Linked DNA regions of Rhinolophus ferrumequinum. Each later gene encodes a partner of the first gene's protein in a complex. Links are inferred from orthologs where the notes say so. Each region holds a gene or a part of one and is shown in the gene's direction. Other genes may lie near its edges. The genes, in order: SNRNP40, LSM3, CRNKL1 and LSM4.

Region 1 (7,024 bases):
AGACCAGTACTTACTCTTCCACGCCATCCTATTCTTTCAGTCACTAACCCTGAAGGCCCCTTCCAAGTCCTCTAATAATAATGGCCAATATTCGAGTACTTCCCATAGGCCATGTATTAACCTAAGAGCTTTATTTGTCTTAACTAATTCCCGTTTTGACCACCCTATGAGAGAGGCAATTATTATTGCCATTTTACAGATGAAGAAACTAAGACATAAGCAAGGCTAAGTAACTTACTCATAATTACAAAACTATGAATGATGCAGATGAGATTCAAATCCAATTTACAAACATTTTTTTCTTCCCTTTCTAGATTATGAAATCTTCTGAGCATGCCCTTGTCTTGGCAGCATATTCTTCAAATCTCCAGTGCTTAGCAGTGTAAAGCACACAGAAATTCGTAACTGTTTACGGAAATACTGAAGCACTGAATTTTACCCTATTTTACATTGTTAGTTAATTCATCAATTCAGCACATTTACTGACGGTTATATGTCAGGCCCCATGCTAATAAGCACTTCATAAACCTACTTTCAATCCTAAAAACAACTCCACAAAGTAGGGTGTCCCTGAATTACAGGGATGAAGTAACTTGTCCAAAACTCACAGCTAGAAAGAGACAAATTTTAGGCCATTCCAAGGGCTATATACACTTGCCTATAAACCATCCTTTTCAACACAATCCCTGTACTCAGACTTCCTAATCTGGTAGGAATAATGGTGACCAATTACAACACGGTATGATCAGTGCTAAAATAGTGGCTAAGTTCCAAATACTAAGAAAACAAGAAAGAGAAGAAGGGCCTGGGGTGAAGCCGGGACGTTTACAAGGTGACAACTGAGCAGTCCTTGAAGAATAAGTGGGAGTCCTCTTAGCAGAGACTATTGTTATTTGACCTCATTAGAACCCTCATCTAGTGTCGTCTGTTTTCTTCCAATCTATCAGCCCTCTCCTTTTTCTTCACTTTCCTCCCTATCCAGCTTAGATTCCACACTCCATCATTCAAACAATACTGTGACATTCCTTTAACTGTCTTTACAGTTTGCCTATATGGCAAAACACTTACGCTGGTGGAGTAGAATTGCAAACATCAGAATCCATTTTAGCTAGGTTAAGGAGAAAGGGATTTACAGCCAGGTATTATGTGGCTTACAAAATTACTGGAAGGGCCACAGGGGCAGGCGCTGGTAGAACTTCCAGAAACAACTCCTAATCCCCCAAATAACAGTCTTTGCCACAATCAAGAAAGTCATGGCTATCATTGCAGAATGTCACTAAACCGGAAAGCTGTTGACTAGAGAAACTCACTGTCTCTGCTATATTTGCCAGCAAAACTGGATGCCACTCTCCTCTCCATATTTAACTAGTTTTCACATTCAATTCTCATTTTAGGTGCAAAGGAGTCCAGATCATTTCTAGTGTCCCAGACTTTTCAGCAAGAGAAGGCACATTAGAGATGGGCATGTGTGTTAAGCAAACCAAATCCACAGTCCCTGCCATACTTGGATGTTTTTTTCCATGCCTGCATGAAATAGCCTGATAGTGCTGTTAAAAAATTATGATCTCTAACTTAAAATGGGTCCTTAATGCTGAAAGACAATCCCTGATTTCTCTGGTAAATGCATTCTCTCACATTCTACAATGATTTCCAAATCTGCAGTCTTCTCAAATGCCTGACCTCATCCCACTCGAAGTATGTAATTCCCTCTTCCTTTACTGAGAAAATAAAAGCTATGAGAAAAGAACTCATTTTACCAATACCAAACATACAAATAACCTGTATCTATTGCCTACATTTCCTTGTTTCTTTCTGTTACATGGAGAAACTATTTCTCTTCCTAAGGCTACTCCCGTTAACTGTCCTTGGGATCCCATCCATTCCTATGTTCTCAGAACACGACCCGTGAACCAATTTCTCTCTTGCATATTCAGTTTCTCCATCACTCTCTCAATTCAATCCTTGGTGACCCCTCATCTTCTTCCGCTTCCGTATCCTCTCCTCTCCTTTATAATCATATGTATGAAAAATACTCTCTAGATTCACAGATTCACTGCCTCCACGTCCTTGCCTACATCTTTGCCTCATATCTGGCTTCTGGCCCCATCACACCAACAAAATAACTCTTCCTAAGGATACCATGAGCTCCATGATGATAGAGCCAACATATTTTTTTCAATTCTCATGTTATTTCAATTTCAGGAGTTTCTGACACAGACCACTTCTTTGCTTCGGAGACAGCATCCATCTCTGATCCTCCTCCTTAGCTCTTTCTTCTCTCTCTCTCGTAGGTTCATGCTCCTGTTCTTGGCCATGAAATGTTAGAACTACTCAAGGTTCTAGCTTGGGTGATCTTACCCACACCTGTGGCTCAATTATCACCTATAGGCAAATTACTCCCAAATTTGTATTTCCAACAAAAGTCTCTCTTCTGAGTTCCAAAGCCGTATTTCAAACTGCCTCCAGGATGTGGTGAACAAACTCTCCCTTCCCCTGCCAAAACAATAACAACAAACAAAACTATCCAGTTGAAGAAGCCAGAAACCTAGAAGTTACATTTGAGTCCTCTTTCACTCCGAGTCAATCCGTCACCAAGTTCTACTGATTTTACTTCTTATATACCTCTAGAAACTGTCCAATGCTTTGCAGTTCCAATACGTCACTCCTCATTGCCAACAACTCTCACCTAAGTGGTCTGTCTGCATCTCTCTCTCTTCCATCTGTTCACACTACTGAGCCTGAGGGATCAAGGCCCCTCCCCCATCACACCACCCACTGTCCATCAAAAACAGAAAAACCCGCAGTGGTTTCCCATCAGTTTTATAGCAAAAGCTACAAAGTCCTGAAAGACCTGACCGCTACCTGTCTCCAGCGTCATCTTGTACCATACTCCCCTTCATTCTCTTTGGATCGGTCACACTGGCCTCTATGCTTTTTAGTCATTTTCTTTCCATTTGTCGCAGGGCCTCTGCCCATGCTGTTCTATAGGGAATATTCTGCCTTCCTCTCTTCACCTCATTAATTAGAAGTCTTCCTTAGGTATCAATTCAGGCATCTTTTCCTCAGAGAAGCCTCCCTGATTATTTCAGGCACTCATAACATCATCCGATCCAGTGTGCACCTCTCCTAGGTCGCACTTAATTTGTACATTTCTTGGTGAGATTGTTGTTTAACATGTTTTCCCCATTGGCCTCAAACCCCTGAGGTCAGGGGCCATGTCTGGTTCCCAATGTATTCTCAACGCTTTGCACAATAATTATCAGTTGGGCGATTAAGAAGGGTATGAGTCGAAATTTCTCAACAAGACCGGGCTCTGGAGAGGCAGGAGTCAGACATCTCCTTCATCTGTCTCTCGCAGGGGCACAGAGCAGACCCTAGCAAAACGCTGCAGAATCAGTGGCAGAAACCAGGCAGCCTCCTCAGTCAGACAGGACCCTAGGGGAGGCTGGGTACAGGCCTCTTCTCCCTGGGAGCGCCTGGCACAGGGCTGGACGGAGTAGGCGCTTGATGAAGTCAGCCGTCGAGGGCCTCAGGCAACCGCAGAGACCCCACAGCTCGGCTCCAGTCTAGAAAGGGAACCCAGGGGCTACAAACCGGATAGGATCTCTGAGCCTGCCTCTCCCCCTAGCAATCAAACCTTCATTTGAGAAATGCCAGGTTCCGACCACACAACCCAGGCACCGCCTCCAGATGCCGCAGCTACCCACCTCACATACCCCTTATACACTTACCCAGCGTCAGCTGCAGGTCTCCCGACCGCAGCATTGCGCGAAACGCCAAAACCCAGTCAGCGCGCTTCCACCCACAAGACACAGCGCGCCCAGGCGGGACTCCAGCTCCATTCGCCAATCCCAGAATCGTAATCCCATGACATCAGAAAGAACTGACCAATAACAAGAGACTATCCAGAGGGCGGTGCAGAGGGGAATATTGGAAGCCAATTGGCTTCTCCAAGCCGGAAGTTCTAAGGGAAAGACTAAGTCCGAACCAATCGTGCGGTGTCTGAGCTTGTCGGCGCGGTCTGCGGCGGGGCTGGGGATAGTGGGTGCCGCCATGATAGAACAACAGAAGCGCAAGGGCCCAGAGTTGCCGCTGGTTCCAGTCAAGCGGCAGCGGCATGAGTTGCTGTTGGGAGCAGCGGGGTCGGGCCCCGGAGCGGGTCAGCAGCAGGCGGCGCCCGGAGCTTTGCTGCAAGCGGTGAGTGAAGTAGCAGGCGGCCGTCGGCCCTCAGCTCATCTTCCTCGCTCCTTTCTCCAGCATCGGGATCGGGTGATCCCGCACCTGCCCTCTCCTCCGCACTGCGGGGCGGAACGAGGATTTCTACCTGGAGTTAAAGCAGAAAAACTGTAAAAGCGGCGGACACCCTGTGAATGCTCCATACGTTACACTGTTTTCAGTGTCTCGACCATCCTGTGAGGTGGCGTTAGAATTCAAGTTAAGGATCTTGAGCTCAAAATCGGGACTGGGGTTTTTGCATCCTAAATCTTCCAGAGATTCTGCTTCGAGTAAACAAGCATTCATAAAAGTTTGTAGAGTGGATGGGTGAATGAAATAATGAATGAATGAGTGAAGGAAGGACATGAATGATACTGGCTCGCTTTGGAACTTTGAGCAAGTTGCTTTTCCCTTTATTTCTCTGCACTATTAACAGCCTAAGAACAGTCAACATTCATTGAGACCTTGTACTAAGTACTTTTTTAATGAAAACTCCATTACTCTTGGCCTAAGAGTTAGGAACTGTTATCCCATTTGTAGATGGAAAAACAATGTAGTAAAAGATTTTAAATTATAACCCATGCTCTTTACTACATTTCTTGTGAGATAGACGTAGTGTCACACCTCTCCTGTGCTATTAGACTCAGATAAAGAAATAAGTATCTTCTCTCTCAACGCTTCAAATAGTGGGTCAGCAAATTTCTGCTGGCATCCTCAAAATATATCCAGAATTGCTACCACTTCTACCACCTCCATCACTGACTCCTGATCTAAGCCATTATTATCTCACCTGGCATGACAGCAAATAGGGTCCTAACTTGTATTCTTGTTTTCTGCTCTTGTATGGTCAACCTATTCTCAATCCAGCAGTCAGAGGAATCCTTCTAAATGTCAAACTATGTTACCCTCTGCTGAAAACTTTTGGTGGCTTTCCACTTCACTTAGTGTAAAACCAAAATCTTTAAAATCTTTTGCCCCCTTTGCCTTTTTGATCTACCAATTTTCCATTGCTCACCCTTGCTCCAATCACACTGGCTTCTGTGTTCCTGCCTCAAAACCATTGCATTTGCTGTTCTCTCTACTGGAATGCTCTTCTTCCAGATGTCCGCATGGTTTACACACTTAGCTCCTCCAAATCTTCATTCAAATATCACTTTTTTAGCGAGGGCTTTACTGACTACCCTATTTTAAATTGCAGCATCCCGTACTCACTAACCCAGATTGCTGCCTGTTGTTTTTGTTCATAACATATACCACCACCTATATGTTTTACTTGTTTTCTCTCTCTCTCCCTCCTTCTCTTTCTGCTTCCCTAACTAGAACACAAACTCGATTGTTTCTTTTGATCAATACTGTTTTCCCAGTGTCTAGGATAGTGCCTGGCACATTGTGTTTTTTTAATAAAGAGTAAGCTGGAAACTACTGACAAGTTGGGGGGTTTTGAAATGTAGTTGTTTATCTGACAAGTAAAAATACCAGCCCAGGTGTCAGTGTATTGCCCAAGCTTAGCCTTAGTGTTAACACCATAATCAAAAGGGCTTTCTACAATAAGCTATACGCTGAAGGATGTTGGGAAGCTCAGTTCAATCGTTCATTCACTAAATGAGCTAGAACTTGGGAAAACTGGTGAATGACACAGGCAGGATCCCTGCATTCACAGAGCTTTTCTAGTGGGGGAAAAGAAAATATGTAAACAAATACAGAAGGAGGGTAATTTCAGGTAATGGTAAGCTTTGTGAGTGTTAGTGGAACACAGAGTAGAGGTGGGGTACTGATAGAGTTTGAGTGATCAAGGAAAGACTCTCTGAACAGGAAACATTTGAAAGCCGCCAAATGCAGGAAGCTCTCGGGGAAGAGGATTCCTGTCAAGGGCAACAACGAGTGTAAAGACCCTGAGACAGAAATGAGTTTAACATGAATAAGCAATTGAAACTTGGCTATGGGACAGGAGCAAAGTGAGGGAGGCGGAAAGTTAATGTAACAGGCAGACACTGGACACTTCAGCAGGAAAATATCATATGGGAGGCATAAGTTACGTGAGAAGAGTTATAGTTCTCTAAATCAGGAGAAATCCACTCACTCATTTCCCTTGTCTTCCCTCCACCACCACCACCACCCCCCACTCCCCAATTTTGCGGCCTCCTTTGCCTCGATGCAGTGACTACCCTGTATGTCTCTTTTTTGCTTAGGGGCCTCCAAGATGTTCTTCCCTTCAAGCTCCAATCATGCTTCTCTCAGGACATGAAGGGGAAGTATACTGCTGCAAGTTTCACCCCAATGGATCCACCTTAGCATCTGCAGGATTTGACCGACTGATATGTAAGACATAGTTTTTGAATCTTGAATAATCGCTGTCTGCCAAATAGCGGTTATTTTTTAAAACCTTTGGTGCCACAGAAGGTGTCAGTCTGAGTTGGTCACATAAGCTGGTGGCTAGCACGCTAAAATAGGGTTGTAAAAATGCTGACTGAGTTTGGTTGTAAAACTCAGGGTCTGTGTGGTAAATATAGGAGTTATGTTATTAGTTGGGAAGTGAGTGGCTCTCCTTTGAGAATATCTTCCTCATGGAGGCAAATCTGGAGCTGATTTAGCAAAATAAGAAATCTAGGCTTAACTGGCTAATGGGAGTATTGAGGAGAGAGATAACTTCCTTTCCCCGAAGGTGGGAGGCTGTCTTCTTGATCCACTCAGAATCTTAGCATATGGGAAGGAAGGAGAAAATCCTAAAGTGGCAGTTCAACTTGGATAACCTACCGGTACATCATTAGGATCTGCTGCCAGGTGCTTAGCTACTAGTAAGGAATACCCA
Region 2 (7,588 bases), on another chromosome or scaffold:
CAAACAAACAATACAATTAAAAAATGGGCAGAAGACCTGAGTGGACATTTCTCTAAAGAAGACATACAGATCATACAGATGGCCAATACATATGAAAAGATGCTGAATGTCACTAATCACCAGAGAAATGCAAATGAAAACCACAACGAGGTATTACCTCACACCTGTCCGAATGGCCATCATCAATAAATCCAACAAGTGTTGGTGAGGATGCAGAAAAAAGAGAACCTTTGTGTACACTGTTGGTGGGATTGCAAACTGGTACAGCCACTATGGAAAATGGTTTTGGAGGTTCCGTAAACAATTAAAAATAGAACTACCATATGACCCAGCAATTCCACTTCTGGGTATTTATCTGAAGAAATCCAAAACACTAATTCCAAAAGATATATGCACCCCTGTGTTCACTGCAGCATTACTAGTAATAGCCAAGATATGGAAGCAACCCAAGTGCCCATCAATAGGCAACTGGATAAAGAAGAGTGGTACATATATACAATGGAATATTACTCAGCCATAAAAAGGAATAAAATGTTACCATTTGCAACAACATGGATGGATCTAGAAGGTATAATGCTAAATGAAATAAGTCAAACAGAGGAAGACAAATACGTATGATCTCACTTATCTGTGCAATCTAAAGAACAAAATAAACAAACAAAACAGAAATAAACTCTTAACTACTGACAACTGATGATTCACAGGTGGAAGGGGGGGTGGGGGAATGGGTGAAAAGGATGAAAGGATTAAGAAGTACAAATTGGTTGTTACGAAATAGTCAAGGGGATGTAAACTACAGCAGAGGGAATATAGTCAACAATATTGTAATAACTATGTATAGTGCCTGGTGGGTACTAGACTAACTGGGGGATCACTGCATAAATTATATAAATGTCTAACCATTATTATGTACACCTGAAACTAACGAAATAATATTGAATGTCAACTGTAACTAAAAAATTAAATAATTAAAAAAAGAAAAATCAGAATGTCCAACCATGAGATAATCATTAAATCAGTACAGTCACACAATGAAATATAACTCAGTCATCTTTTAAGACAAAGGAAAAAGATCTAGGATAAAATGCTAAGCATGCAAAGTGGTTTTTACAGTGTTTTCTACTATACACAAGAACACAGACTAGAAGGAAATATACCACTGTTTAGTGGTGGTTATTTCTGGATGATGGAAATATAGACTTTTTTTTCTTTATTCTTTGCTGTGTTTTTTGTCCCAGAGAATCTAGAGGCTATTTTCTAGGATTCTCCAAGATCTAGGGCTATCTAACATGGCTAACCAGCTGCTCTGAATTCAATGCGGTTATTTCAGTAGGGCAGGAATTACTACTGTGGTTTGCTTGGCCATCCACTGAAATTTAATAAGAACACCTGCTTAAACCTGCCAGTAGCATCTCATAGCACTTAAAATAAAATACAAACTAAGGGCCCTGCCCACCTCTCTCAACTCAATTCCTGCCACTCGCCCCCTCACTCACTCACTGTGTCAAGCCAACTGGCCAAGCTCATTCCCTCCTAAGACTCTTTAAATGTACTGTTCCCTCTGCTGAGAACTCTTTTCCCCCAGAACCTCCTATGAATGGTGCCTTCAGGACATTCAGTAACTGGCTCAAACTGTCACCTCCTCAGAGGCCTTCCCTGATCATTGATTCTTAGCTGCGTCTTCCCCACCTCCGTGTCAGTTTTATTACAGTAATCTGTTTTACTTTCTTCATAGCTCTTATCACCATGTGAATTTATTTTTAATTTATTGTCTGTTCTATGTACCTACCTCTCTCCAAAGATTATAAGGACCACGAGAGCAGGGACCTTGCGGTCTTGTTCACTACTATCATTTCATTGCATGCACTAAGGTGATGTCAAAACCTACACTGTTGCGCTGTTAGAAACAAGTCACCAAATTAGTATCACCCGCAGCTCAAACTACATTTGTTCCTCCACCAAAGCACAACAAAGATTCTAACTCTTCAGATCTTGGAAGCTGCCCTGAGAACTTAATTACTCTGGTTGTCAGAGTTTGAGTGAAGCTTAGGTGCATCCTGACATCCATTTAGCCTGAACTGATATGAACTAGCCCAACTGATTACCTAACATGGACCATGCCAGGAACTTTACATACTATCTCACTGAAAAATCACAACCACCCTGCAAGGTAGGATTATGTTTCACAGATCAAGTTTCGAATGGCTCAATTATCTGTCCAGGATAATTTACCCAAGTGCACATAACAACTGAGCGCTGGAGCTATACCAAACTGGTGCCCAGGTGAAGTGTTTAGCTAGAAGGAATGCTACCCAAGCAGGTGGCATTTCCATCAGATTAAAACTTTTAATTTTTGAATTGCCACATATTCAGACAAAATAGATTCCTTCTGACTAGAATACTAACCCCCTTTCACGGCCTCTTGCTGAAATATTATCCATCCCTAAAGTTACAGATCAAACCTAGCTCCTCCAGAGAGCATTTCCCAAGCTCTCCAGCCAAACTTGATTATTTCTTCAGAAGCCACAAAGCCCTGTACCTTCTCCCACAATATCACACTCTGCCTTGGATAATTTTTGTAAATGTCAACACTACTATATTCTAAGCTCCTTCAAATCTCTGTCTCCCACGTTACCTAGCTCATGTACAGCACCAACCAGATACTCAAAAAATATTCAAAGGTCATTTTAATGAGTAAATGAACTAAATGAAACTCATAGTATTAGTGCGAAGTAAATCACCTTTTAAGTTTAGAAATTGCTATCTTTTGACTATTTCCTAATGGATGATTGCCTTGTCATATGTACAGAATCACAGAATCATTGAATCTAGTGTCATAGGAGGCCCTGTTGGTTACCCAGTCTAATCTACTACCCAATTATTTCAGGAACCCCCAAAATCCCTCCACAGCAAGTATTTTACAATTACTTAAAATACTTATTGAGCACTTAGTATATGCTGGGGGGAGACGAGAGGATACATCAAAAAAAATAAGATGCGTTCATGAAGCTTAAATTCTATTAAGATGGGTGATTAAAAAGGAAGCAAAGAAATTAACAAGATCATTACAGATTGTGACAGAAGCTGTGAGGGCCTCTGTGATACAGAGCACCTGGTGAAGGACACCTTAGGGCACAATAGAAGAATCAGCCACAGCCAAGAACCATGGAAGAACATTCTAGGCAGAAAGAACATCAAACACAAAGGTTCAATGTGAGAACATGGCATGCGTGAGGAACAGAAAGGAGACCAATAAGGAGAGTATCTGGCAAACAAAAGAGGGGTAGGAGACAAAAAGGAGGAAGCAACAGCCAAATCCTGTAGGATCTTGTAGGCCATGATGAGGGATTTGGATTTTATGCCACGAGCAATGGGACACCACAGAGGGTTTGAAGGAGGAGCATGGAAGGATCTGATTTTGGTTTTGAAAGATCACTTGGGCTGCTGGGTGGAGAATTATTGCAGGGGAAGGAAGGGAAGACCAATAAAAAGGTAACTGCAGTCGTTCAAGTTTCAAGTAATGGTGGCTTGGGCAGGGGCTGTGGCCTTGGAAATAAAGAGAAGTGAAGAGATGTGCTATACTTCTGAGGATGAACTGACAGGACTTGCTGAAGGATTGGACGGATGTGCTCGTGTATGGAAAAGGAGGGGTTGGTTTGTTTAAACAAGTGGGGGAAGGATCATTTACTGAGATGGGAAAAAGTGGGGAAGAGGCAGGTTGAAAGGGGAAAATCAAGAGTCTTGCTTTGCACATGACAAACATAAGAAGCCTATTCGATATCCACGTGAAGTCGGGTTGGATCCAAATCTGGAACTCTGGGGTGAGATTTAGCTGAAGATACTATTCTGGGAGTCAGCACACCACAAACTACGTTCTGTTCTTCTACGGACACAAAACAAGTACAATGTCTTTTCCCTGTTTAGCCCTTCGCATCTACCAGGAGGTTGGACTTTATCCTGTGGGCCACAGGGAGCAGGAAAGAGGCGACGCAGGGGAGCTCCAGGTCAAGTTGGGCTCCAGGGGAACCGCTCAGGGTGCGTCACTCCTCGAGTGAGAACAAAGGCACAGCGACGGGGAGGACCGGGGCAGCGGCACAAACGCCAGCTTCCCTTGGCCACCGTCAAGTGGTCTTCTCAGCGCAGACCGGCGCGGAACAGTCTCCGCCCCCCACCTCCAGGAAGCTGGCTCCCCCACTCCCCGCACCCGGGCCTGCTTCCGGATCTCTTTCAGCATCTCTCCCTAAACACGGCTCGGCCTCGCTCTCACCCTCCTCCTTCTCCTGCCGCCCAGCCGTGCTCTTGCCCTTGGCCTTCTGGCTGCGCAGTTCGCGTCCCCGCAGCTCCCTGCCGGCTGCGCGACTCCGAGCCATCTACCCCGGGGAGGGCTCGCTTCGCGAGTGACGCACCAAACCGCGGGAAGCTGCACCCGCGTGGTCTACACCCCAAGGCGGGGAGAGGCATGACCACGCCCCTCCTTTATGGACCAAGCACACGCCCCCAGAGGAAGCGCCGTCCCAGTCCCAAGTGACAAATGCAAACTGCAGGAAGCAAGAAGACGCAAAACAAATTTTTTTCTACTTCCGGTGCATTGCGTCCTCGTGTTTCCGGAGACTGGAGGGGCGTGATATCGCGAGAGGCGAGAAAAGGCGCAGGGTTTGAAACATGGCGGACGACGTGGACCAGGTGAGTGTCCCCTGAGGAACTCACTCCAGAGCGGCTTCCCCACTCCGCGCCCTGGCCCTGTTCGGCTTTGCATACCCGGCTGCTTTCTTCAAGTTCACGGGACGGTGTCCTATCATGTCGCCTCTTTCCGGGTCGTCACGGCCTTTAATTTTGCCTCAGGCTCTGAGATCTTTTCTACTTCCAAATCCGCCAGAAAACTAAGTTACCCCTCCCGCTCCTCACTTCCTTTCTCTTGAGTCTCACCTTTATCCATAGAATGGCAGTAATTGTCCCTGCCTGCCTCGCAGAGCTGTCGGGATTCTGATAGAAAGCGCGGTAATTATCGCGCAACAATTACTTGACCGCAACAATGATTACTCATTCAATAAACATGTAGTGAACATCAACTCTGTATGGTTTACACACCGTTCTAAGCACCAGAGTCACAGGGATTGACATACGTGATCCCTGTCTCCACTTGGAGCTTATATTGCGAGGGAGGACAGATAAATACGTGTGATATATAGGAACTGGGATGTGGAAACGAGCAAGGAACTGGTATACAGAATAACTGCTGGTCCTACAGGCTTTCTCACCTGCTCTTCCTTCTTCCCAAAATGCTCTTCCTCAGATATCGTTGTGATCAGGCCGCAACTTCTCAAGCTTTCTACTGAAGCCTCGCTTCATCAAAGAGGACTTCTCTGGCCAGCTACATAAAATAGCACTCTCCCGAGTTTGTTTTATTTTTCTTCATAGCATGTTATGTGTTCATATTAAGTATATGCTGCTTTGTTTAATGTCTGTGTCCCCCAACTAAAATGTGAATTTCTTACGAGGAGTTTTGTGTACTATTCTGCCCTGGGTGGATTTAGAACAGTGCTGGAACCACTCGGCAGATATTTAGGTATTGAGGGAATGAATTGGATGATCAGGGAGGCCTCTTTGAAAAGGCAATGTTTAAAGCTGAATAGGATGAAAAAAGCAGACAGAGAGCATTCAGGACCCAGGCTAAAGGAGCAGTAGGCCTCTGTCAGCGTGTATATTCTTACAGTATTGTAATGATTTATATGCTTCTCCCAAATAGAATGAGCTGCTTTGAGGGCAGAGGCTGACTTCTGTATCATTGTAGTCTAGTAGTTGGTTACCTGGTCCTTAACAAACAGCTGTTGAACTGAGGTTGGGGACCAGTTGAGGACAGGACTTTTTCCCTTGAACGCACGCTGCAGGACTCCAAAGCCAGTGCTTTCAGCCAGTATTCTGTACTGCCTGCTGAGTATACTCATCTTATTGGCCAGTCGGCACCCTAAACTCAGCGTGCCCTGTACTGAACTCATTTTCCTTCACATTTTCATCTCTGCTTAGCGTTCTGACTTGTGTAGTAGTCATTAAGTCAGTGTTATTCAGATTACTAAATGATATTTGAGATAAGGCTAACGTCCCTGAGAGTGACTCCCTATGTCCTGAAGTTGTGTCAAGCAGCTTGGATTTTGAGGGAACAAAGTATAGTCATGATTATTTTGCTGTATAACTCCTTCCTGTGTATGTTTCTTTCAGTTCTCGTTTATATAGCGCTTACTATGCGCCAGGTACTGTTCTAAGCCTTCACATATGTCACTTAAGCCTCACAACAATGGTATTAAGTAGGCACTGTTATCCACATTTTACTGGATAGACGACTAAGGAAAGCATAGAGGGGTTAAGTTACTTGCTCACAGTCAATGCAGCGTAGCAATGATTCAAACACTACACTCTCTCTAGTACTATATTACTAAGCTTGTTTTTTTAATCAGCAACAAACTACCAACACCGTAGAAGAACCCCTGGATCTCATCAGGCTCAGCCTGGATGAGCGAATTTATGTGAAAATGAGAAATGACAGAGAGCTTCGAGGTAGATTACATGTAAGTAAATCTATTAAATTACCTTGAAATCAGGTTATTTCCTTGTTTTCCCTCCCTACTCCCACGCCTTTGAAATGTAAAAACTCTCAACTGTGGAACAGTGTTTGGAATGCAGAGAGGAAGGTGGCAGCTACCCATATTTCTATAACACAAATACAACTCTATTTTATTCATATTTTAACATTTTTTTCTCTTACCAGAAATAATGTGTTTATTAAAGAACATTTTCATTTCTTTCATATTTTACCCTTCTATTTATTTGCAGATAACATTTATTCTCCATTCTTATTTAAGTGTTTTTTTAATTACTGACATATGCATAATTTGTATTTTCTTGTGAAAAAACTTAAATAGCACAGAAATACATGCCGTAAAAGGTGAAATCCCATTTCTTCTACTGGTAACCACTGTTAAAAATTGGGTCTATGGTTTTTAAGGTATTTTCTGTATATTTACACGTATGTATTTATAATACGTGTCCATATGCATATATTTGCACTATACCACCACTAAAATAAATGGGATCTTGCTATACATATTTTTGGGCACTTTTCTTTTTCACTGAATCTTGGAAATCATTGATCATGAGTGCATATAGATCTTCTCTATTCTTTTTAATTACTACATAGAATTCTTTATATGGTAATAGTGATATTTAGATTGTTTTCCATTTTTTTGTTACTATAAATAATACTGCAGTAAGCATTTTAATACATATTTAATACATATTTCTTTGTGTGCATCTGCAAATATTTCTATAGGATTGGTCCTTTAAAGTAGTCCTATTTATTCATAAAAAGAGTAATTGAAGGTTTTGCCTCTTCTTGATAACATGTTGCTTTCCAGAGTGTGTTGTTTTTATTACTGCCATTCTACCCTAAAGAGGTTAAAAATAATTAAAGTTTATTGAGCATTAATTATATGTCAGGTACTAGTCTAAGTGTTTTGTATGTAATACACATCTCTTTTGATCTTTATAACAACCCTCTGTGGGTAGATACTAAATATCCCTGTTTTATAGTTGA
Region 3 (7,069 bases), on another chromosome or scaffold:
TCTCCTGCTCAGGAGGGCAGATTTTCTTGTTGCGCATTCCTTGCCATAAGCCCCGTAAAGGACAAAGGAGTGGGGTCCCTTCCAGATGTGTGTTAAAACTGATAAACATTCTTGAGCTTACTTAGCTATGTACTTACAGAAGATAAATGATATTAAGCTGTCCAAACAGCTTCTGGGTAAATTGTCTAATGAGGTTTTTGATACAATAAACATCCTGCGATTCTGTTCTTCGGCAATGAACCACTTCTACCTTTCCTCTTGGAGAAGTGAGTATTGACATTTTCTATCCTGTCCCAAAAAGACAGAAAAAAGCCCACTGTTAATCTGAGATGACAAGCCAGTCTGGTTACAGTATTTACAAAATTGGATATTAATTCAATTTCCATACATCAAAGTGAACTTGGTGTTAGAGTGCTGGTGGCACACATTTTCCCCTGGGGGTAGGCTATGACAACTGACACTACAAACCAGCTGACATGTTTCTCTCCAGGGGAATGATGCTTCTGAGAACTGGCTTGTCTAGAAGTTTCTGCAACTGTATTCTTTGTTTCCAATAAAGCTGCTTTCAAGTATTCTAACAATAGAATTAAAAAACATTGAAAGGAATTGTTTACTGACTCAGGGGTCCTCTTATATTTAAACAGCCACCTAGGCATGTGGTCAAGAGTTACAGGGGAAATACTGACAGCTGCTGCCCACGTTCCAAATAGTTCCCCAAACTGGAATCCTGAAGGGCAGCAGTCCTAAGAGATATTTTGAGGAAAAAAACGTTCTGTGGTCAAATAAGCATAGGAAATGCTGCTTATGATGGTGTTCCTGAGGGGCCGTAATGTCCATAAAGTCTTTGAGAAGTTCCCTAAGAAGTACCTGCTTTCTTGGTGTAACTCAGCCTTTCTCACTCCCTTTCTGAGGAGAATCTCTAATGACAGCGACAGTGGAGAGACTAATATTCGAGAAAGACACTTCGGGGAATGCTGTTGACAGGAACAGTAGGCCACAAAATGATTTCACTCTCTCTCAATGTCTTAGTGTGTGTGTGTGTGTGTGTGTGTGTGTGTGTGTGTGTGTCTCCCTCTCTCTCTCTTTTCTTTTCTTTCCTTCCTTCCTCCCTTCCTCCATCTCTCCCTCCCTTCCTTCCATTTCCCTCCTTTCCTTTTTTCTAGGGAAAAACACCTTATTATGTACTTGCTAGTGAGCTCAAAGCAGGCAAATTAATTTTTCACCATGATATTGAGTCTAAGAACAATCTGAAACATTTCCAGCACCCTGGAAGAATGCCGCTTAGCACCACCCAGTCAATTCGCTCCTGCAAAAGGTAACTGTATTCTGACTTCTATCCCATAGATGATCTTTGCCAATTTTTGAACATCATATACATGGAATCATGCAGTATATATAGTTTTCTTTCAAAACACAATATATCTTTTGGCTTTTTGTTGTTGTTTAGATATATCCTTGCATGATTTTCATTTTGCCAAAGTACCAAAAAACTTGAGTGCCGTAGGGGCCTGAGACATCTCTGAACTGAGTTTCTCCTTTGTCAGATGAGGAAACTGAAGCCCACAAGGTGAAGTGTCTTGTCTCAGGACAGATGTTTGGTCAGAAACAGAACCTTGGACTTCTCCTTCCAGCCCAGCCCCTTACCACTCCCATCTGTGTAAGTAACCTGCAGGTTGGCTCTATGGATAAGAAGTTCCCCTGCCCTCATTGTCCACTGATGTTCGGATGAACTACAGCTTAAATGGTTGTAAACCTTCAGATGTTAAGGGTGTAAAGTGCAGGGTAACACAGGAGGATTCGCAAAGGTGGCAGATGGCATCCAGAAATTTCATCCAGTGGACCCTGTCTTGGTGAATTAACACCATCCTCATCTTTGCAGGCTTATAAACGGGTTTCATCAACATGCTCAAAGCAAACCCAGCTCTGGGGAATGGCCCTACATTATCCAAGCTCACAGAAACTGAAAGAACAAGTACAAAATGTCAATTTATTAATTTACAAAGAGAAAGTCAATGGGGGGCAGTCCAGGTGTTTCTGTAGCCCAGATAGTTAACAAATAAGTCATGTGGGTTAAGTACAAGTCTGACTTCCTCTCCTTAACAGGGTAGAAGGGAATTATTTCTCCACCTCCCATGAGCTATGTGGCCACAATCTCGCAACCTTGGTATCAAGGTGACTGCAGTGAAATGGGGAACTCAGGCTAGTCTCGTTCCAGCCAGATGTTGCCTTCTGGAAATGTGGTCTTAGAATGGCAGATCTTCACATTTTGCAAAGGAAGAAAAGCATGCTGTTTACATAACATCCCCCAAATTTGAAATATTGGCTCAAAATTCTTCTTCACACTCTGCAGATATAAATAAACATTTATTTAAGCTGGTTTAGCTTCCATTCCTGCTGTGGCAGAGCCACCCATGCCATCTCTGTGGACCAGCTACACAGAAAGCCCAGCTCTCAGAAGGTGGCTTACATGGGGCCATGGTTAAGAGCATAGGATGTGGAATCAGAGTACCAGGGATGACAACCACCTTCTATCCCTTATTAGCTGTGACATTGGGCAAATTACCAAAACTCTCAGTTCCTCAGTTTCCTCATCTGTAAATTAGAGATAATATATATACCTCGAAGAGTTTTATAAATGAGTTATGTATAAAATGCTAAAAGCTGTGTCTGACATAGTTAAGTGCTCACTCAGTACATATCAGCAACCATTAAAATCATTTTATTGAGCATTACATTCTCAGGATTCAAAATAGTGAACCTCAAGAAGTCGCTCACCAGCCCTGAAGCCTGAGGGGCCCTCACCCACTGTAGAGATGCCAGGCCACAAAAATCAGAGACAGGCTATGCTTGGGTGGCATCTTCACAGATGTTTGCCTAAACATCTCTATTTTGTTATGACCACAGGGCCAATCCATCCCCTTTGTGACAGACACTTCCTTTCCTAGATAAACAAATATACCTTTAATCAATTTGCAGTCAAGTTTTGATCACTTGCTAGCATTTCCTTTCTAAGATGGCTTTACCTAGCGCAGCTGCAATGAGTTGATTTCACATTCTAACCCTAATGTCATTCTTTCTTGACATTTAATTTTTTAAAATTATTTTTACACAGCAATGCACTATAATGCATTCTTCATTATACCTTCTCAATGCAGAATGCATTCTCATTGCGAAAACATATAACTTTACAAACAAGGCTGAAATCCTGTCTTTTTTTATTGTGGTAAAATATGCATAACATAAAATTTCTCTAAGAAATAGTTTTTTTCTTTTTAATTCTCTTAACCATTTGCTTGCACATAATTAATTTTTCTGTTTTTGAAGGCAGGTCAAGAATTATATCACCTAACATTTACTGAGCGCTTTACATAGATTTTCTCTTTAATCCTGGTGAAATAGATATTATTATCATCACCTTACAATTCAAGATATTGAGGCCAAGAGAATTTATGTAATTAAGGCACACTCAGAGAATTTAAACATCTGTTTATCTGACAAGAAGGCTGGCTGGTCTGCTAGTAGTCTACTGATTTATTTTTATTTTTGTCTTATCTGGCTTTAAAATACTTTCAGGTTTTTTTTAATTATAAACCCTGTAGTTAATTATTTGGTCACAGCTGTCCAGAAACGAAGGGCAGTGGACCTCAGAAACTACAAGGCCTAGAATGCAACGCAGCGCGGGCAGCTTAGGAGCTCAGCAGCTCGCCCACTGGCACGCAGGGAACAGTAGTAGTTTTCGGGCCGGCCTCTCTTCCCCCGCCCTCCAGCGTCCAGATCACAGCGTGGTTCTTACACCCTCGGCCGGACGCCACGGCTAGGCAGATCCACCCCACCTCGCGCGGTCATCACAGTCCCGGAGACTGACCTGGAGATGCGCCCTAACTCCCTGGACCCAGTTCTCGCGTTCCTGCGGGGCAGGCCGACTCTACCCACCTCAAACTCAGACTCCTGACGCCGCGCTCCACACCCGACTCTAAAGAGGACGCGCAGGCGAGTTACCACAGAAACGGCGCTCCCTCGGTCACGGCGAGTGCGTGAGGTCAAAGGTCATCAAGCCAGTTCCGCTTCCGGCCCCGAATCCCGCTTGTTATCAGAAAGCTTTGGGGCGTCGGCGAGCCCTTAGGCTCGATATTTGGGGTCCAGGGTTCGCCCGACGTCTTCTGCTGCAGCCATGGCGGCCTCTACCGCGGCCGGGAAGCAGAGAATTCCCAAAGTGGCCAAGGTAAGTGATAGCGAGTGTGCTTGGGGGAAGGGGCCTGGGAGAGGGGCTCGCACCAGCCTCCATGGTACCCGGGCCGGAGAGTGTTGTCTGAGGAGCAGGCCCACCCCGTGCCGGGCCGAGGGGGAGAGAGAGGGAACGGGATAGCCGGTGGTGGGGCGCAGGCCCTTGTCACCCGGAGTATTGCCCGCAGCGGCGTGGCCTTCGTGCTGGGTAGGTGTTTTTGGGGGATTCGGGTGGGTGTAAGAGTGGGGTCATTCATTCAGCAAAAATACCTGAGCCAGGCTGTCGGCTAAGCGAGGCGGAGCTCACACTCTCATGCGGGTGACGGGCTGTACACAATGAGACAGCAGTGTAAAACTGCAACCTTGCCAAATGCTGCTAAAGCCAAGTAGAAGGGGCCCCGGAATAATGGGGGGGGGGGGGGTGAGGGCGTCTCCAGAGTCAGCTTTGCTGAGGAAGTGACATTTAAGCTGAGACTTAAAGGCTGAGTAGGAATTAGCCCGTGGAGAGTGACATAGGTGGCTGATACTTACCAAGTATTTTATGTGTAACAGGCTTTGTTCTACGCCTTTATTGATCCTCTCCTTTCAGTCTGTTTTTCCTGCCCATGTCCATTTAGATGACTCCCAGACGTAATACATATAAAGCACACAGCCTGCTGTCTGGTACTTAATGCTCATCGGCTATGAGCTACCGGCATTATCATCATCTTTCCACATGTAGCACTAAATAATATTTCTTGTAATTCCACTCCATAAAATTGTATTGGTCCAGTAGAAATATAATGTGAGCCACATATGTAATTTAAGGTTTTTTTCCTCTTTTTTAAAAATTATATTGGGGAACAATGTGTTTCTCCAGGGCCCATCAGCTCCAAGTCATTGTCCTTCAATCTAGTTATGGAGGGAGCAGCTCACTGGCCCATGTGGGAATCGAACTGGCAACCCTATTGTTCAGAGCTCAACTCTAACCAACTGAGCCCACCGGCAGCCCCTGTAATTTTTTTCTGATAGCTACATTAAAAAGTCATTAGCAAGGGACATTAATTTTAATTATATATTTTATTTAATAACTCAGTTTATCAAAGATATTGTCATTCCACCATGTAATCAATACAAAAAAATTAGGTAGTTTATTCTTTCCCTCATACTAAGTCTTCAAAATCTACTGTGTTTTACACTTACAGCCCATCTCAATTTGGACTCGCCACATGTGGCTCCTGGCTACCATGTTAGACTGCACAGCTCTAAGACCTCAAGAAGCTTATAGTCTGATGAGGGGAACTTACCGAATATTGTCTTTGACTTAAAATGCCATGAAAAACCAAATGCATTCATCCACCTGGGTCATTAATTCTGAGTAGAGATTGTAATGCTTGATAAGATATGGAATACATCTTTATAAAGCAAAACCTTTGGTGAGCTTTTTTTCCTAGGCAGCCTCAAAGTTTTTTATTTTACTAAGTTAAAAGGGAAAATTTGCTATTTTTGCTACCTTTTTTCTTGAGACTTTTACCTGTGGTTTTGTAATAGATATGCATTAAATAGAAGACATTTTTTTTTCTGTTTAGTTGCACAGAGAAATGGGAACATGTCACACAAAGGGGCAGTTTGTAATAATACATATAAAGTTCTCATCCTAAAAAAATTTTGTTTGTTTCTTAAATCTTGTGTGAAAGGCATCTCCTAAAAATAGAAACATCTTTTTTTAAAAGGTAAAAAACAAAGCTCCAGCTGAGGTACAGATAACTGCCGAACAGCTCTTAAGAGAAGCTAAAGAAAGAGAACTTGAGCTTCTTCCACCTCCACCTCAACAGAAGATCACAGATGAAGAAGAGTTAAATGATTACAAACTAAGGAAAAGGAAGGTCCGTCAATGTGATGTCTTTCATTATGTTATAATGTTAAGAATTTATAGGTTATAACTATTGCATTATGTTGTACACTGGAAACTAATGTAAAAAAAAAATTATAGGTCAGAGTTTGAAAAGTTCTTCATGGGTTAGAGAGACTATAAGATGACAAGAGGTTAGTGTTTCTAGCCACATAAATAATATAACTTCGGGTTACCAGATAACTGCATTTTACTGAACTTTATGAAATATACCATGAGTTGTCTATTTTAGAATATAAAGAAATTAAGTCCATCCAAAATATAATTCCTGGTGCTGAATCAAAGATGGGTGGAAGTTAAACAGGTGGAACAACTGACAGCTGGAAGAGGGGTGGACTTAGCAAGACTGTGTTAATGATTCTGTCTATACTGTCCTCTCTGTTAAGAATTAAGATGGGAAAGATCCATGAGAAGACTGAGGATCTGAGTTGACCTTCTTACACTAAAATGTGTGATTATTTTAAACCACTAATCCTGCTATATCTACTTATTAGTTATCTTCAATGAATTATGTATGAAATGACATAATTACAATGAATTATGTATGAGACATTACCAAAAAGATTTAGTCAAAAATGTTTTCTTACTAGGAACAAGTAGAGTATATTACAGTACCAGTTAGTTGTTATGGGCAATAAAAGTAAATACCAACAATTCTGCTAATAATTCTCTAAATCTTTTATATCTATTTTTAGATATTTATATCTAAAGTTTCCCTCTTGTTTGCATGTAAGATTTTAAAGAAACACTTGTGATTGTAGCCTTCTGTAGTGGATTTCTTATTTCTTAAGGATTCCAGGGTGTAATTTCTCTTAAATAAGAACAGAATGAGTAACCTTTTTAGTACAAGGATTAATAGACAAAGGATGATGTCATTTTTAGTTATTTTCTCTTTAATTTGACTGTTTTGATTTCCACCAGACTTTTGAAGATAACATAAGAAAAAACAGGACT
Region 4 (7,907 bases), on another chromosome or scaffold:
TATCCATCCATCCATCAGTGGGCAATTGGGTTGCTTCCACCTTTTGGCTATTGTGAATAATGCTGCTATGAGCATTGATGTGCTAATATCTTTTAGAGACCATGCTTGCAGTTCTTTTGGCCACTCAACTTTTGTAACTTTTTTTGGAAATAGTTTAAGACTGACACAAAGTTGCAAAAAAGTAGTACAGTTTCCCTGAACCCTTAACTCTGCTTCCCCCAGCGAAATGGTCTATCTTACTAACTAACCACTGTCAAAACCAGGAAATTGACATTAAAACAATGTAATGGACTCAGGTACCACCGCTGCTTTCCCAGAGTTTTGAAACCAAGACATTTCATATGTAAAGAACTGTTCCTTTTAAATTTTTTATGAATTTTCTTAGTGAGAGAATGGAGGGCGGCAAGTATGGTGTTTAGAGCCAGCTGGCCTGAGTTCAAATTCTGCCTGGCTCATCACATGGTGCGTACTCTTAGATGAGTTATTTTCCCATTCCAAGCCTCTGTTTCCTCAACTGTAAAATGGGGATTAAATAGTGCTGCAAGCTTTTTATATTGGAATAAGTTCAGATCTACAGAAAACTTGCAAAGACAGTACAGAAACTCCCCTATGCCCCTTACCCAGCTTCCCGGAATAAGAAGATCTTATCAGATGCATTTGTACAAGAAATTGACCTGGGTACATTGTTTTTAACCAACCTCCTGATGTTGTCTGGATGTCACCAGTTCTTCCACTCATGTCCTCTCCCTGTTCGTAGACTCTGTAGAAGGAATCCCGAGTTACATGTAGTCATCACGTCTCCCCAGTCCTCTTTTGTCTGGGATGGCTCTTAGGTCTTTCCTTGTTCATGATCTTAGTCTTGGAGAGAGCTGGCCAGGCGTTCTGCAGAATGCCCTCCATGCTGGTCTGTCTGATATTCCTGCCATGATTAGAATGGGGTTATGGGTGTTTGGGGAAGACCACAGAGGTGAGATGCCCTTCTCATCTCATATTATCAGGCAGGGATCCCTGATAGCCACGACTTATCACCAAGATAAAATCTGGATCACTTGGTTCAGGTGATGAATCCTGGGGCTGCCATAACAAATGACCACAAACTTGGTGGCTTGAAACAACATAAATGGATTCTCTTCAAGTTCAGGAGGGAAGAAGTCCAAAATCAAGTGTCAGCAGGGCCACGTTCCCTCTGGGGACTCTAGGGGAGGATCTTTCATGGTCTCTTCCAGCTTCTGGGGGCGCCTGGTGTTCCTTAGCGAGTGGCTGTATCACTCCAATCTCTGCTTCTGTCTTCTCTGTGTCTCAAATCTCCCTCTGCCTTTCTCTTAGAAGGACACCAGTCATTGGATTTTGGCTCTATCCTAAATCCCAGACATCTCTTCTCATGGTCCTTAACTTAATTACATCTGAAAGGACTCTTTTTCCAAATAAGGTCACATTCACAGGTTCTGGGGGTTAGTACTTGGACATATCTTTAGGGGGTCACCCTCGACTCACTACATGTGGTATCTGCCAGGTCTCTCTACCATTTAAGTCTCTATCAAGTTACTTTTTTCCTCTTTCTCTATTCTTTAGAAGTGAGTCACTGAGTCCATCTTTGGGGGTTTTGGGGGGAGGATTTACATATAATTCTTTTTTAAAGTGTGTTGTCCAGGACCCATCAGCTCCAAGTCAGGTAGTTGTTTTAATCTCGTTGTGGAGGGTGCAGCTCACAGCGGCCCTTGCGGGGATCAAACTGGCAACCTTGGTGTTATGAGCACCGCGCTCTAACCAACTGAGCTAACCGGCCGCCCCTACATATAATTTTTAATGAATGAAAAATATTCTGTCTAGTGGATGAACCATGTTTTACTCAACCAGTTCACCGCTGTCAGACCTTTATGTTCTTTCTGCTATTTTAGAATTGGCAACATTGCTGCAAGACCTCGGCAGAGTGGTTCCCTTCATTTGCAAGACCTCAGTATAAATGTTCAGAAAAGGGCAGGACAATTTTATGGGCTTTGAGACATAATGCCAATTTTTCCCCCACTTAAAAGGAAATATATATTAACTGGTTTCACTACAACCTTGCCCTATTTTCTTTTTTTTTAGTGAAGGGTAGGGTAGTTTTTTGAGTGTGATAGGTACATTAGTCCTCATTCTTTACATTTCTGCTGTCAGAAACACAATTGAAACTGGAATTTAAAAAATAGTATTAGTACAAGGGATAGGTAAAGATAGGATTTATGAAGCATCGGATACAACTGGATCCAGGATTAAACAGGGCCAAGACTCGGAGGTGGAGAGATGGCCATTTCTGTACCTGACAAACATTACCCCAGCTCTGCAATTCCAGCATCATCCCAGGGAAGCCTTCTGATTGGTTAAGCCTGGGTCATGTGTCCATGATGAGGGGGGAGGAGGAAATATGCTCAAACTGCCTCAAATAGTGGCCCATACAACCTCTCATGTTTTTAGCTCCTACATGTCAGAATCCAGAAGGCCTAAGTGTGCAAATGAGCAATTACAATGTGGCACAAATTGGGTAATGATGAAAATCAGTGCAAGGTACTGAAGTTCAAAGTATAAGAGAGGGAATGATTTGATTTGGGGGGTCAGCCATTGAAGAGTTCATGGAGTAGCTATGCGTTAGTGCAGGTTATGACACCTGCCAGAGACAGAGTCCAAACTCTAAGTGGATTAAGCAACAAAGGACAACTTCTTGGACTCATATAAGTGGAAAGTCAGATCTAATGGTTTCAGGTATAGCTGGATCCAGGGGTTCAAACCATGCATCCCTGTCCACTGAGTAGCTCTTATGTATGTTGGATTCTTGTGTATACTGGATCCTGATGGCACTGGGCTTACACTTTCTCACTTGTAAATCTATTTCACTAAATAGGAATATCTCACTATTTCATCATCTCACTTTTAACAACCTCCATGGAAACCACTCTTCTCCCTCCCAGCCCTCAGTATCCTTCTCAAGGGAGATTCTAATTAGCCCTGGTTGGTCACATGCTATCAATTTAACCAATCACTACGGTCAGGGGGACAGAAAACTCTGATTGGCCATCTCTATGTAGAAAGGACTGACAAAAACAGAAGTTACCAGAATCCACCACAAGGGGTCACCCAAGCAGAGTTTTCAAGGATAAATAGGAGTTTGCCAGTTGGGCAAAAAGAAAAAGCCTCTGCACATAGAAAAATCTAGAAAAGTCAGAAAGGGGTGAACCAGCACAAGATTTTCTTCCTACTTCCACCACCATATTAGTGAGGGGACATATCCTGTACCCAATTTCCGTTGTTTACATCAAGTGGCCTTTACCCTGGACAAACAAGCCTTGGCTGGTCATCCTGATCCCTCTAACCCAATTATCACATCACTGTTGGGTTGGCCACTTACCAGCGTCCTGCACACATCCCAGGCCTTGCCAGCTTCCCTGGGAGCAGCCCTGAGCTGATGACAGATGGGACTTAGAGAATAAATGCCCCAGCTGCCCTGACCACGGATGGGGCCATGATGAAACATGAGTTCTTATGCTTCTCCCTGAGGTCCCCAGCTGGACAGACCCCCAGTTGCCTTTTGCACCACCTACCCTTTGGTGCCCCCTGCAGGGATCCTTCCCTCCCTGTGTCAGGTCTTCACCCCCAATGGGGGCTTCCAGGAGTCACCCGCTATGTACACTTTGTGCCCTTGAGTCCTCATCTCAGGATCTGGTTTCTGGGGGAGGGAGTGACCCCAAACTAAGACATGAAGGACAACTGTTGGTCCTGGAGTAATGGGTGCCTTGTACTTTATCTGGGTTCCACATTTGATCAATCCACACAGTAACTGGTTATAAAGATATGTCCTAACATAACGTGTAAGTTCTAAGTCCCGGTACCTGTGACTATGACCTTATTTGAAATAAGATCTTCGCAGATGTAATTAAGGATCTTGAGATGACATTATTCTGTATTTAGAGTGCGTCTATTAAGAGAAAGGAGTATCCTTATAATAGAAAGCAGAGGAAGATTTAGACAGACACAGACAACACCATGTGAAGACAGAGACAGAGATTGGAGTGATGTGTCTACAAGCCAAAGAACTACAAGAATTGCCAACAACTAGCAAAAGCCTATGGGCCTGGGCTGAATTGTTCCTCAGAACCTTCTATAGGAACCAACACTGCTGACAATTTCGATTTCAGATTTCTGAATTAAGTTCTATTGTTTTAAGCCATCCCGTTTGAGGTAATTTGTTACAGCAGCCCAAGGAAACTGATACATATGCCTATTTATTTTGTTTACTGTCTGTCGCCCCAAAGGGCTCCTAAGCCTGAGGAGGGCCAGCTTTGTCAGGTTTGTACACTTGTGTTTCTAAGAGCAGGCACATAGTAGGTGCTCAATAAATATTTATTGCACGCTTGTGCATTAAGTGCTTAGTATGTGCCAGACGCTGTCCGAAGTGCTTTCACACAGCTTAAATCGTCTCATCCTTACTGCAACCTTCTAAAGCAGACACTATCATTACATCCATTTTACAGAAGGGCAAACTAAGGATCAGAGGAGCATAGTCTAGATTCCAATTTACCAAAAGACGTGCCTTAGACAGGGATCAACTACAATAATGAGAATCAGAAGAGTAGGAGCCCGAAGTTACTTCCTAATAACCACTAAGCCTCAGTTTCTACATTTGCAAGCTGCAAAAAATAATCAGCTTTGCCCACAGCGTGGAGCCCAGAAGAGCTGTTTCACTTGCGCATGCGCCCTTACCCACAGGCTTTCGGCCCCGTTGCACGTCGCTCTGCCTCCCTTTTGCAGCACTCACTGCGGCACTTTACGGCTTTCCCCATATTCTTGGCAGAAACACGGCCCGCACCGCCCCTTGTGCTTAGCAGGCCCCGCCCTACTCCTCGGGGATTAGTTGCCAGTCCCTTTAGCCCCGTGCTGACTGGTTCGCGTTGCTGCCACTCCAGTTTAGCCTAGTGGCGCGCGGCGGTTCGGCTACTGGCGGGCGCGTGAGCGGCGGCGGCGTCGGAAGTGGCCGGCGTGCCCAGTCCCCGCCGATACCATGGTGAGGGCAGGACGATGGCAAGGTGTCGCCGGGAAGCAGGGGATGCGGCCATTGAAGGCTGTTGGGGCGGGCGCTGGGGCAGGGGCTACGCGGACCGAGCGTGCAATCCGGGCCTGATTCCTGCCCCTCGGCCTGAGGCGGGGAAACTGAGGCCGAAGAGGGCGGGAGGGGGCTCTCTCAGGCACCCAGTCTCTGGGAACTTAGAGTTGGTATCAGTATAGCGGCCTAGCTGCAGTCTTCCCATTTTGCAAACGAGGAAACAGGCCGGAGCAGGTGGGGCCCGGTGAATGCAGCAGAGTGAGTTTTCGGGCAGGGAAGTGGCCCCGAGCGCGTCCTATCCAGTCTAATCTCATGTTTGAAAGCTGGAGCGCCAGCAAGTAGGGGCCCGCCTGAGTTCTCAAATTAAGCCAATTTGGGGGATTTCAGGGTTTGCAAGGCTCCTAGAATGTTAGCACAACCCCCTATGACTGTCGTTTTCAGGCTGAAAACAGACGCAGAGAGGGGGTTTGCTTCTTTGGATCACACAGCGTGTCATTCATTCCAGTGGGAAAGGGGGCTTTTTGAGCCAGGAGTGCACTAACTGCCCCCTTCCAGTTCACAGAAGGAAAACTTGAGGCCCTGACAGAAAGCCTCCAAGGCCAAACCGCTCACACATCGTGGAAGTTCTGGATCTAGGCCAGAGTGACCATGCCCCGGTGTGTAGACAAGGAAATGGAGGCCCCCACAGAGGGATTCAAAGTTGGGTCTCCTGGAATTGCGCCTGGCCGGTCAGCACTTGAGTCCCTTTGACAGGGTTGCCGCATGTTTCTGAGAGCCAGGGGTTGGTGAGGTTTCCTGCTAGCTCCTGCTGGCTGGATCCCTCTGCTGGAGGGCAAAGTGGGCCTGAGGGAACGACTGGACGGAGCTTTGTTAAGCTCCATGGAGGCCAGAGCTTTGTTTACCCCTGATAGAGTCCCAGAGTATAGAACAGAGCCTGTGCAAAGTACAGACTCGTTTCTTTAATCCGAAGAGTGTCCACCAGTGGACCAGGCATGACACACCCTTCGTGCCCACCAGTGGACAAGGCATGCTCACACAGCAGGGCGGGAAGCAGGGGTCACGGTGTGTATGTGGGTGTGATCATTGACAGTTTCCTGAATTGGGAGCGTCAGGAAACCTTTGGGTCTAGTCCTGGATTGAGCCAGACCTGAGAACCAGACCCCAGACCTTGTGAGAAAGCCCAGAGAAAGGAATCCTGTTTCCTGAAGCTTTTCTGACTTTCCCAACTCCACAGGGTCTTGGGAAAGATCCCATCTCCCCTGAACTGGGTGTCCGGCCCGCTCCTGTTTCCCTTGATCCCTTCACACGTCTTCTTCCTCTTCCCCACCAAGTTTTAAGTTTTCGGGGATCCTCCCCTTCCTCTTTTCTGTCTCCCGCCCAGTTTGGGGATGATAGTATAGAAGAAGGCAAGACATGGCCACTGCTCCACGCTGCTGCATCTGTGGAGAGCTATCCGGATGCCACCTCTCCAGCCTCTCCTTTCCTTCTTTGTGGGGTGGGGCGAGCATCCCACCCACCCCATGTACCTCCCTAGGCAGTGCGTGCGTTTCCCTCATGTATTTGTTCAGCAAATATTTACCAAGTCCCTCTCGTGTGTGTGGCCTCATGCTGGGCGCTGGACAAAGTCCACACCTTTTGAGTTTTCCAGTCTAGCAGGAGGCGTGGTGTTTCAAGTCTAGCCAGGGAGACAAGTAAACAAGATAATTAGAGACTGGCTGCGTCCTATAATGGAAACAGCAGAGGGTGGCCCAGGTGGAAACCTCATTCCTTCGATGGGGTTATGAGGACCTGGCCAAAGGAGGTGACATTTGAGGAACGACCAGCCTGCGGAAGGGAAGTGTAGGAACAAAGGTTGGGCGGCAGGACTGGATGGGCATGGTGTGTGAGGAGCAGCGTAGGCCCGTTTGCTGGACCTGGTCAGGCCTGGCCTGGTAGCCCGTCTGGGGAGTGTGTGCCAGGCAAGTCAGGGGAGGGGTGGGAGCAGGTGCTGCTGCCTTCTGCGTTTCAGATGTCCTGTCCGCTGCTTTGTGGATAGGGAATTGCCAGGACCCAAGGAGGCCGTGGGTCCTCCAGGGCGGTGCTGCCAGTAGCTGGGATGAGGTGGTAGCCTGAGAGGCTGTCGCTAGCATAGAGATTGTGAATGCCATAAAAGGACATCAGTGGTCCCCTGCTGACAAGCATCAGCCTACTTTCACCGGCTTTACCAGGACCTTGCTCTGTGTCCTTGGGCCGATCTCTCTACCTCTCTGCGCTGAGTCCATCTTCATTCTCACCTTCCAGGGCTAGCCTGACTCTGTGCCCTCTGTTGATGTAGGAGGAGGACCCGAGTGTCTCATCACCTTGGGCTTGATTCCCACTGCCCAGGAAAGCCCAAAGTTTCTCCACAGTAAAAGGCGACCTGGGTGCATGGCCCTGCATGCGGGTCTGAGCCTCCAGTTTTTCCTGTGCAGCCTAGGCGCAGAGTCACACAGGCGTACCCAAAGGAGAGGGCCGGAGCTGCAGGTTGGTCCTCGTTGGGGTCCCAGTCTGCCCACCCACCCGCCCTCCTTGGAGCAGCTGCCTCTTCTCCACATGGCCCCTTCTTCCTCCTTATCTTGCCCTTCCAGGAAGCCAGTGCAGGAAGCAGGCTTGGGCCTGGTTTCCTATCGGCGCTGGACCTCCCCTGGTGACCTCTCAGGGAAGGCCTGTGGGAAATGGGACCTGTCCCCGCCCAACAAGCCGTTCATGGGGAACCACCCTGTAGGTGTTGAGGACCATTTCTGACCTCCACTGGAGAGGCTTTCCAGTTCCACCCCGTGGAGAAACAGCTGGCCGGGATTGTGACAGTAGTGCG

The links.
Region 2: SNRNP40 (region 1) and LSM3 share a complex: the UniProt entries of both Homo sapiens proteins name them as parts of the U4/U6-U5 tri-snRNP complex. The link is inferred for Rhinolophus ferrumequinum from reciprocal best matches to the Homo sapiens genes SNRNP40 and LSM3.
Region 3: SNRNP40 (region 1) and CRNKL1 share a complex: the UniProt entries of both Homo sapiens proteins name them as parts of the minor spliceosome. The link is inferred for Rhinolophus ferrumequinum from reciprocal best matches to the Homo sapiens genes SNRNP40 and CRNKL1.
Region 4: SNRNP40 (region 1) and LSM4 share a complex: the UniProt entries of both Homo sapiens proteins name them as parts of the U4/U6-U5 tri-snRNP complex. The link is inferred for Rhinolophus ferrumequinum from reciprocal best matches to the Homo sapiens genes SNRNP40 and LSM4.

The regions. Positions count from the first base shown.
Region 1 is NC_046292.1:21,444,239-21,451,262, reverse strand, and holds the start of SNRNP40 (U5 small nuclear ribonucleoprotein 40 kDa protein), read left to right. Parts: upstream 1-4,004; 5' UTR 4,005-4,053; coding exon 4,054-4,197; intron 4,198-6,404; coding exon 6,405-6,534; intron 6,535-7,024. UniProt on the Homo sapiens protein: Required for pre-mRNA splicing as component of the activated spliceosome. Component of the U5 small nuclear ribonucleoprotein (snRNP) complex and the U4/U6-U5 tri-snRNP complex, building blocks of the spliceosome.
Region 2 is NC_046300.1:40,459,397-40,466,984, forward strand, and holds the start of LSM3 (U6 snRNA-associated Sm-like protein LSm3), read left to right. Parts: upstream 1-4,566; 5' UTR 4,567-4,662; coding exon 4,663-4,683; intron 4,684-6,452; coding exon 6,453-6,563; intron 6,564-7,588. Other genes in the region: XPC (DNA repair protein complementing XP-C cells), read right to left, coding at 4,268-4,370. UniProt on the Homo sapiens protein: Plays a role in pre-mRNA splicing as component of the U4/U6-U5 tri-snRNP complex that is involved in spliceosome assembly, and as component of the precatalytic spliceosome (spliceosome B complex).
Region 3 is NC_046306.1:40,159,948-40,167,016, reverse strand, and holds the start of CRNKL1 (crooked neck-like protein 1), read left to right. Parts: upstream 1-4,062; 5' UTR 4,063-4,171; coding exon 4,172-4,222; intron 4,223-5,936; coding exon 5,937-6,089; intron 6,090-7,036; coding exon 7,037-7,069. Other genes in the region: CFAP61 (cilia- and flagella-associated protein 61), read right to left, coding at 138-280. UniProt on the Homo sapiens protein: Involved in pre-mRNA splicing process. As a component of the minor spliceosome, involved in the splicing of U12-type introns in pre-mRNAs.
Region 4 is NC_046301.1:51,124,267-51,132,173, reverse strand, and holds the start of LSM4 (U6 snRNA-associated Sm-like protein LSm4), read left to right. Parts: upstream 1-4,886; 5' UTR 4,887-5,032; coding exon 5,033-5,035; intron 5,036-7,907. UniProt on the Homo sapiens protein: Plays a role in pre-mRNA splicing as component of the U4/U6-U5 tri-snRNP complex that is involved in spliceosome assembly, and as component of the precatalytic spliceosome (spliceosome B complex).